Linked DNA regions of Macaca mulatta. Each later gene encodes a partner of the first gene's protein in a complex. Links are inferred from orthologs where the notes say so. Each region holds a gene or a part of one and is shown in the gene's direction. Other genes may lie near its edges. The genes, in order: POLE4 and POLE2.

What was found.
Region 2: POLE4 (region 1) and POLE2 share a complex: the UniProt entries of both Homo sapiens proteins name them as parts of the DNA polymerase epsilon complex. The link is inferred for Macaca mulatta from reciprocal best matches to the Homo sapiens genes POLE4 and POLE2.

The regions. Positions count from the first base shown.
Region 1 is NC_133418.1:49,825,223-49,829,676, reverse strand, and holds the start of POLE4 (DNA polymerase epsilon subunit 4), read left to right. Parts: upstream 1-1,598; 5' UTR 1,599-1,625; coding exon 1,626-1,838; intron 1,839-2,294; coding exon 2,295-2,379; intron 2,380-3,059; coding exon 3,060-3,101; intron 3,102-4,454. UniProt on the Homo sapiens protein: Accessory component of the DNA polymerase epsilon complex. Participates in DNA repair and in chromosomal DNA replication.
Region 2 is NC_133412.1:122,890,486-122,894,301, reverse strand, and holds part of POLE2 (DNA polymerase epsilon subunit 2), read left to right. Parts: intron 1-1,135; coding exon 1,136-1,219; intron 1,220-2,384; coding exon 2,385-2,441; intron 2,442-2,873; coding exon 2,874-2,922; intron 2,923-3,816. UniProt on the Homo sapiens protein: Accessory component of the DNA polymerase epsilon complex. Participates in DNA repair and in chromosomal DNA replication.

The DNA.
Region 1 (4,454 bases):
TCACTCATTGTACCAGGCCTCTAATCACATTTCTACACAGCTATCGCCTCTTCATATAACCTAAGCATAAAAATAGACAGTTTCCTCTAGGTCTTGTGGTTTGCATTTTTGGACTCTCATGTCATGTAAAACTTGGATTGAATAGATTTGTTATGCTTTTTTGTGTGTGTTATAGGAGCGTCAGCTGTGACCCTTAAAATGGGTAAAGAAAGTTTTCACACCTTTCCACCCGTACACCAGTCAGAGTTTACTACATAATTTTGGAATTGAGTGATTTCAGATGTCAATTAATTCAGCTTCATCTTGGCTTCACCACATTCTGTCGTGTGTGTGTGTGACTCAGTAACCACTCTGCGCCTCAATGTTTTCAAGTAAGGTTTCAATAATAAGGTTAAGCTTATTTTGTAAAATAAGGTTAAAATATATAGGGTATTGTGAAAATGACAGAAGTTATGATTTACATAAATGTAAAACACTTTGAATCATGCACATACTAAATGCTCAAAGGGGTTCACTATTATTATGATTGACTTAGATTAAAGCTATTGTAAATATTAACTGTTCCTCTATGCTATCAGACCTCAAAGTGTGGTGTGGGGATTCATGGGGGTGGGAATTTTCTGGAGACCCTTTTCAGGAGTCCATGAGGTCAAAATTATTTTCTTAATACTACTAAGAGGTTATTTGTATTTTTCATTCACATTCTCTCAAGGAGATGCAGTAGTTTTTCAGAGTTACCTGAGAAGTGCTAACGTTATCAACAGAAGCAGCTAGAGAATCCAGTTCTCACATGAAATCAGACATTAGAGACTTTTCTTACTAGATTCATTTTTTAAAAAAAGTTTCTTGTCATAAAAATGTTTGTTAGCTCGTAATGCATTAGTAATTTTAAATCAGTATTTTAAAACTTTAATTCTAATACAGTAAGTACTGATATAACTGACAGAAACAAAAGCTACTTGGGCTCTTTAGTAATCTTTAAGACCGTAAAGGTATCTTGAGGTCAAATTTGAGAACCAAAGCTGTGATGCAACCTGTTTTTGAACAAACGTGGATGCCTTACAACCACAATTTCATCCTTTCCAGCCTCCATGACTTTTTCTTGTTTCCTCTGGCTGGGCTGAATTTCTTCTTATCTGCCTGCAAAAGCCCTACTCCTCCTTCAAGAGCATCCATAACTGAATTTGGTCCAGACTTCGCTGCCTCCCTGGCATCCTCTTCCACGATGCTGGGACCTCCAGGGCCGGGCCTCCCTCGGACACGTGCCCTCCTTAGCCTTGGGGTATTAACATTGTTTTGACGGAGGCTCTCTTGCGAGCCCAGTCTAGATTTCTCCCCTTACCAGCCTGGCACAGGCACCAAGGGGAGGTGCCTGGGCTCCACAGGCCCAACGGGCCAGAGGGTCACCAGTAGCGTCAACCAAGGGCACGACAGCCCAAGGGTGGCCAGGCGCGAGGGAAAAGCCGGAGCCCAGTCCCAGCCCACCCGGTTTCCGGCACCGCCCTGCCGCGTAGGGGCGGAGTCGCGCGCCTACACAGGGTGTGGCCTCCAGCCCGCGCGGGAAAGGGCCTGCGCCGCATGCGCGCGCACAGTCGGCGGCCGCGCGCAGCACGCTCAGGGCCGGGATGGCAGCGGCGGCGGCGGCAGGAAGCGGGACACCCCGAGAGGAGGAGGGACCTGCTGGGGAGGCAGCGGCCTTGCAGCCCCAAGCCCCAACGAGTGTGCCTGGGGCTCGTCTCTCGAGGTTGCCTCTGGCGCGAGTGAAGGCCTTGGTGAAGGCGGACCCCGACGTGACGCTAGCCGGACAGGAAGCCATCTTCATTCTGGCACGAGCCGCGGTGCGGCAGCAGCGCGAGGGCACGCGGGGGTGGGGGAGGTGGAGCGCGGGGCGGAGCCTCGGGGCCTTCCGCGGGCGGGGCTTAGGGTGGCGTGGGCCGGGTTTTGAGATGTGGGTGTGGACCCGGAAGGCGGAGGAAAGGGGCCGGGGACCTATGCGAGTTGTGTGTTTTGTTAACACTCCTCCCTCTTGTTGAGGACCTGGTTAGTGAGTGACTTTAATTTGTATCTCCAGGGCCTCATACAGAACTTGTAGGAGACTTTAGTGAATGAAGGAGAATCCTGGGAAGAGGGTGGCGGAATGGATGTTCATGAAGTCCAGGACAATCTTAGCTTCCAGAACATTTTCTTGCCCCTGAGCCTGCCTTCTCCCTCTCTGCCCCCACCCACAAACCAGAGCCCTCACCTCCTCAGTGTGCTAGAACCCATTACTAAAACTTTGCTTTTTTACTTCACAGGAACTGTTTGTGGAGACCATTGCAAAAGATGCCTACTGTTGTGCTCAGCAGGGAAAAAGGAAAACTCTTCAGAGGAGAGACTTGGGTAGAGTGGCACTGCCAGTGTCTGGGGACAGAGAAGGGAGGGCTGGGCTGGTTTTACCTTGCGCAGGTTGAGAAGACGTCACTCTGATCTGAGAGGTCCCACAGCGTCTCTCCCCAGGATGGTTTCTGTTGGCCACAGTGCCAGGAAGCCCTACCTGTAGAGGCTCTCTGCTTGGGGTGGTGGAGCAGTGTGTGGTGTCTGGGGTTGCCAAAGCGGACTGGATCCCTTCATACCTTCTGCCAAATTGCACCAGAAAAAGATAATTCTTTTTCACCTAGCAACTGGGGATTTGATTTCTGACTCTTGTCTGGTTGGTAACCCTCACCTGTGTAAGCTTTCATATACCGTGTTCTCATGCGCCCTGCGTCTATTGTCACATTCTTCTCTGATAACTTTAAGAGCAAAGCGAATAAATAATTTAGATGTATTTTAGGAGCCCCCTCCCCCCCCCGCATTGAATGGTATTTGCCTACACTTTTCTTACTCTTCTAGGGAGACAACTAATACATATATGAGAGTTGCTGGTAGAGTAGATACGGATCTCAAGGCAGCAAGGGACGCATCTTATAATTGCCCTCATTTGCCCAAAGCCTCATGCCCTTCACTGTAGATTGTGCTGTTTTCTGACTGACGTCAGCATGGCTGGAGTTAGTCAGGTGTCTCTTTGCCTTGTGTTTCAGATAATGCAATAGAAGCTGTGGATGAATTTGCTTTTCTGGAAGGTGAGTTCTCTCTCAGTGGGCAGTCATTTCCACCTGTCTTTTGCATGTTAATGTGAAATTCAAAACCTCATAAAACGGATGCCTGCTTCTTGTTTGTGTAGGGATAATTCTTTCTCCGTACTTGCTGTTAGAAAAAAGTAACTTGCTAAATGAGGTTCAGTTTTCTCCCTTGGGGAATTAAAACTTCTACCTGAAAATTGCTAGCCATAAAGAAATAGGAGGGAATATAAAGATCCCAGTGTAGTTAGATGAATTCAGAAGTTTGATTCCTATCTTGTTCGCCATACCTAGATATCAGCCTTGCCCCTCTTATCATGTTAGAGATCAGAAACAATTGTCAACATTTAAAGGGTGACCGCTTGTTCTTTTTTCTTCAACAATCTGTGTGAAGTGATTATTTTGCTGCAATAAGACTTGTCTGTGTTTTTAGGAGTCATGGATTAACTTGTGTACTAACTAAATTTTTTCATTAAAAAAGCAAATATTTGAAATACCTAATTTTAGCTACCTTGCCTCAGAGCTATTTCTGCTACTTAATTTTTTTTTTTTCTTTTTTGAGACGGGGTCTCGCTCTGTCGCCCAGGCTGTAGTGTGGTGGCGCGATCTCGGCTCACTGCAAGCTCCGCCTCCCGGGTTCACGCCATTCTCCTGCCTCAGCCTCCCCAAGTAGCTAGGACTACAGGCGCCTGCCGCCACGCCCGGCTAATTTTTTTTTTTTGCATTTTTAGTAGAGATGGGGTTTCACTGTGTTAGCCAGGATGGTCTCGATCTCCTGACCTTGTGATCCGCCCGCCTCGGCCTCCCAAAGTGTTAGGATTACAGGCGTGAGCCACCGCACCAGGCCGCTACTTAATTCTTAAATCTGATCAGCTTACTCTTCACTACACATATATAGTCATGTGCTGCATAGTAACATTTTGGTCAGCCATGGACTGCTCACATGAGGGTGGTCCCAGCAGATTATAATGGAGCTGAAAAATTCCTGTTGCCCAGTGAGGTAGTGGTCATAACATCCTAATGAAATACATTACCTTTTCTATGTTTAGATATGTTTAAAAACGCTTATCACCATGTTACATTTGCCTACAGTATTCAGTACAGTAACATACTGTTCAAGTCTGTAGCCTGAGAGCAATAGGTATACCCTGTAGACTAAGTGTATAGTAGGCTATACCATCTAACTTTGTGTAAGTACACTCTATGGTGTTCACACAGTGGTGAAATCGCCTGAAGATGTAATGCATTTCTTACGATGTATCCTTGTTGTTGAGCGACACATGACTGTATTTTGATTGAGTAGCTTGGCAAAAGCCATGTATCCTCATTTCATTCTCCCGGGGTGTTCTCATTACC
Region 2 (3,816 bases), on another chromosome or scaffold:
AGAAATATTAAAAATTGTTTTTATTAGTAGAAAACTGGGAACAACTTAAATGTCCTTTAATGGGAGTTTGGTGAAATAAATGGTCATATGTATAATATAGATATCTCTATTCTTTAAACAGAAGGAAATTTATATGTAGAAAAGTGGAAAGATATCTCAGATATTAACTTCAAAAAGTTAAGTTGCAGAATAGTACATATACTATGATTTCATCTTTGTGAATAAACTGTATAGGTGTGTGTCATAAGTTATATATGTATGTATTTACATATATTTAGGATTACATACAGAAAAAGTTAGAAAGGAATTTTTATTTTATTTTATTTTATTTTTATTTTTATTTTTTTGAGATGTAATCTTGCTCTGTTGCCCAGGCTGGAGTGCAGTGGCGTGATATCAGCTCACTGCAAGCTCTGCCTCCTGGGTTCACGCCATTTTCCTGCCTCAGCCTCCTGAGTAGCTGGGACTACAGGCGCCCACCACCACGCCCGGCTAATTTTTTGTATTTTTAGTAGAGATGGGGTTTCACTGTGGTCTCGATCTCCTGACCTTGTGATCCGCCCGCCTTGGCCTCCCAAAGTGCTGGGATTACAGGTGTGAGCCACTGTGCCCGGGTGGCAAGGATTTTTTACAATGGTGTCCCAATTTTTACTACCTTAAACTTTCTGATTAGAAAAAAAGATCAGATTGAGAATGTAAATAATAATGAGAGCCTTTTAAAATACTAAGTAAAATTAGAATATATATTTTTAAATAGCTTGCTAATTTTCAAAAGGTACTGTTCAAATAAAATAAAATTGATATTCTTTTCTATATTTTAAAAATAAATGTACTTATCATTATTCGGAATGATATGGTGTGGATTCAGTCATTGGTAAGAGCCTGAGTTGATGTGGTGTTTCTTTAGGCATGATTCTTTCAGGCCATCATACACTTGATCTTACAGCTTTTTTGTAGGACAAAATTAAACATCCTAAGTTTAATTTTACAACTTTATTTCCATTTTATTTGATTTTCTACTGTAAAGTAGTTATAAATGCTGAAATGTGTACCCCAAATTTACTTACTTATAAAAAGTTTAGTTTCTTGAAAGAATATATTTATAGTCTTTAAAATTTATTTTGTTTTATTTTAGCTTAAAACAATAGAAACCTTATTGGGTAGTACAACCAAAATCGGAGATGTGATTGTTCTTGGAATGATAACGCAGTTAAAAGAGGTAACTTAATAAACATCAAACTTTTAGTTTTGGCCTTGGATTGATAAAATGTCGGTTACATAGAACATTTTTGTGGCGGGCACAGGAATGTACTCTTTATTGAAAACTCGCCTCACCAACAGAAAAATATTGGAATAGTGGTAATATAAGGAAATAGTATCATCATGTTAGAAGCCTTGGAATAAGGATAAATAATGGCTGTTGGCCAGGCATAGTGGCTCACGCCTGTAATCCCAGCCACTTTAGGAGTCCGAGGCAGGCGGATCACCTGAGGCCAGGAGTTCGAGACCAGCCTGACCAACATGGAGAAACCCTGTCTCTACTAAAAATACAAAATTAGCCGGGTGTGGTGGCGCATGCCTGTAATCCCAGCTACTCTGGAGGCTGAGGCAGGAGAATTGCTTGAACCCAGGAGGTGGAGGTTGCAGTGAGCCGAGATGGTGCCATTGCACTCTAGCCTGGGCAACAAGAGCGAAACTTTGTCTCAAAATAAATAAATAAATAAAATAAAATAATGGCTGTTCAGCAGAGAAACCCATTTCCTGTCTCCATAGGGCCTGTTTTACAATGATGTAAAAATTAGGTCATGTTCATTTTCATATTAGACTTTTTGTTAAATAAACTTTTGTAATAGTCAAAAAAACCAGAAAACAAAAACACAAAAAACTTTTCTCAGTTACCAAGTGTCTTTTTCGTTTGTGGTTGGTTTCCTGAGTAGACATCAGGACAGTGTCTTGTCTGGGAGCCCAGTTTGCATAGCCTGAAATTAGGCCCCTAGTGACCTCTGGATAAACAGAGAGTACTGGGTTTCTGAACAAGCAATCTGCAGAGTATGTCCTGGTCACTTGGAGATGCTGTTGGCTGTCTTAGAAGGTACCTGGGGAGACCCTCCGTATGGCAGACATTGAGTGTCCCTCTTGCCATTTTTTATCTGTAGGAGTCATTCTCCATTTTGTACCTGTGAGGAGTCAGAATCTCAGTTAAGTGATTAGTCTGGGGTTATCAAACTAGTAAATGGAAGAGCCTGGACTAGAAATCATAGCTGATTTTTAAAATCCACTTTTCTCCCTACTGTATTCTGTTGTCAAACTTGTAGTTTCATTTTTTGGTCATAGTTTTCATTGTTACATAAATGTGGATTTATTTCTTTTCATTTTTTTTTTAGGGAAAATTTTTTCTGGAAGATCCTACTGGAACAGTACAACTAGACCTTAGTAAAGCTATATCCTTCACTTGTCTGTATTTTTTAAAATCTGCATTATGTGAATTGGGGAAATTGATTATATATCCTTCTAAAACTTACCTATTTGGGTTCTCAATGTAACTTCTCTATGTTGCTGGTATAGGAATATAGAGATATAATCCTAAACAGAGACAGAACAACTTTAATTTCCTCTTATTTGAAGAATCTAGACGAATGACTGACGAAGTTTATATCATGATAAGAATGATCCACCCTGTCAATATTACCAAGAATTAAACATGAGGACATTTAAACCTAAATTTTTTAAAGCTCTTTCTAAGCTGTGGTCTATTCACAGTTTCAAATGGGAAGTCTTTGAATTTATTATTTAGAAGCCTTATTGGTCTCAAAATGTATGTTGACTTTATTACTGCCTCAAGAATAGAATTATTTTCCTCAGCTGTTGTATACCAGTTCCATAGTGGTTTATACACAGAGGCATGCTTTGTCTTAGCAGAAGGTAAGTCAGTATACTTTGTTACTGTCCTCCTTCTCATTCTCCAGTAAAACTATTTCTGCTTTGGGTAAAATATGTTAACATGATATAATTTGGGATACCATTAATTAGAAGAGCATATTTTTGGCAAAATAACTCTTAGACTGTTAATGGGCTAATAGATATCTTTTTGGGGTGATGAAAATGTTCTGAAATTAGATAGTAGTAATGGCTATACAACTTGTGAATATACTAAAAATCACCAAATGATACACTTTTTTTTTTTTTTGAGACAGAGTCTCACTATGTCACCTAGGCTGGAGTGCAGTGGTGTGATCTCGGCTCACTGCAACCTCCGCCTCCTGGGTTCAAGTGATTCTTATGCCTCAGCCTTCCGAGTAGCTGGGATTATAGGTGCATGCCACCATGCCTGGCTAATTTTTTGTATTTTAGTAGAGACGGGGTTTCACCATGTTGCCCAGGCTGGTTTCAAACTCCTGAGCTCAGGCAATCCACCTGTCTTGGCCTCCCAAAGTGTTGGGATTACAGGCATGAGCCATGCCCGACCTGAATTATGCACTTTTTTTTTTGTTTTTTTTTTGAGACGGAGTCTCACTCTGTCGCCCAGGCTGAAGTGCAATGGCACAATCTCGGCTCACTGCAAGCTCCACCTCCTGGGTTCACGCCATTCTCCTGCCTTGGCCTCCTTAGTAGCTGGGACTACAGTTGCCTGCCACTACACCTGGTTAATTTTTTTTTTATTTTTGTATTTTTAGTAGAGACGAGGTTTCACCATGTTAGCCAGGATGGTTTCTTGTGATCCGCCCACCTCAGCCTCCCAAAGTGCTGGGATTACAGGCATGAGCCACTGCGCCCGGCCCTGAATTATATACTTTTAAAGGGTGAATTGTATAGTAT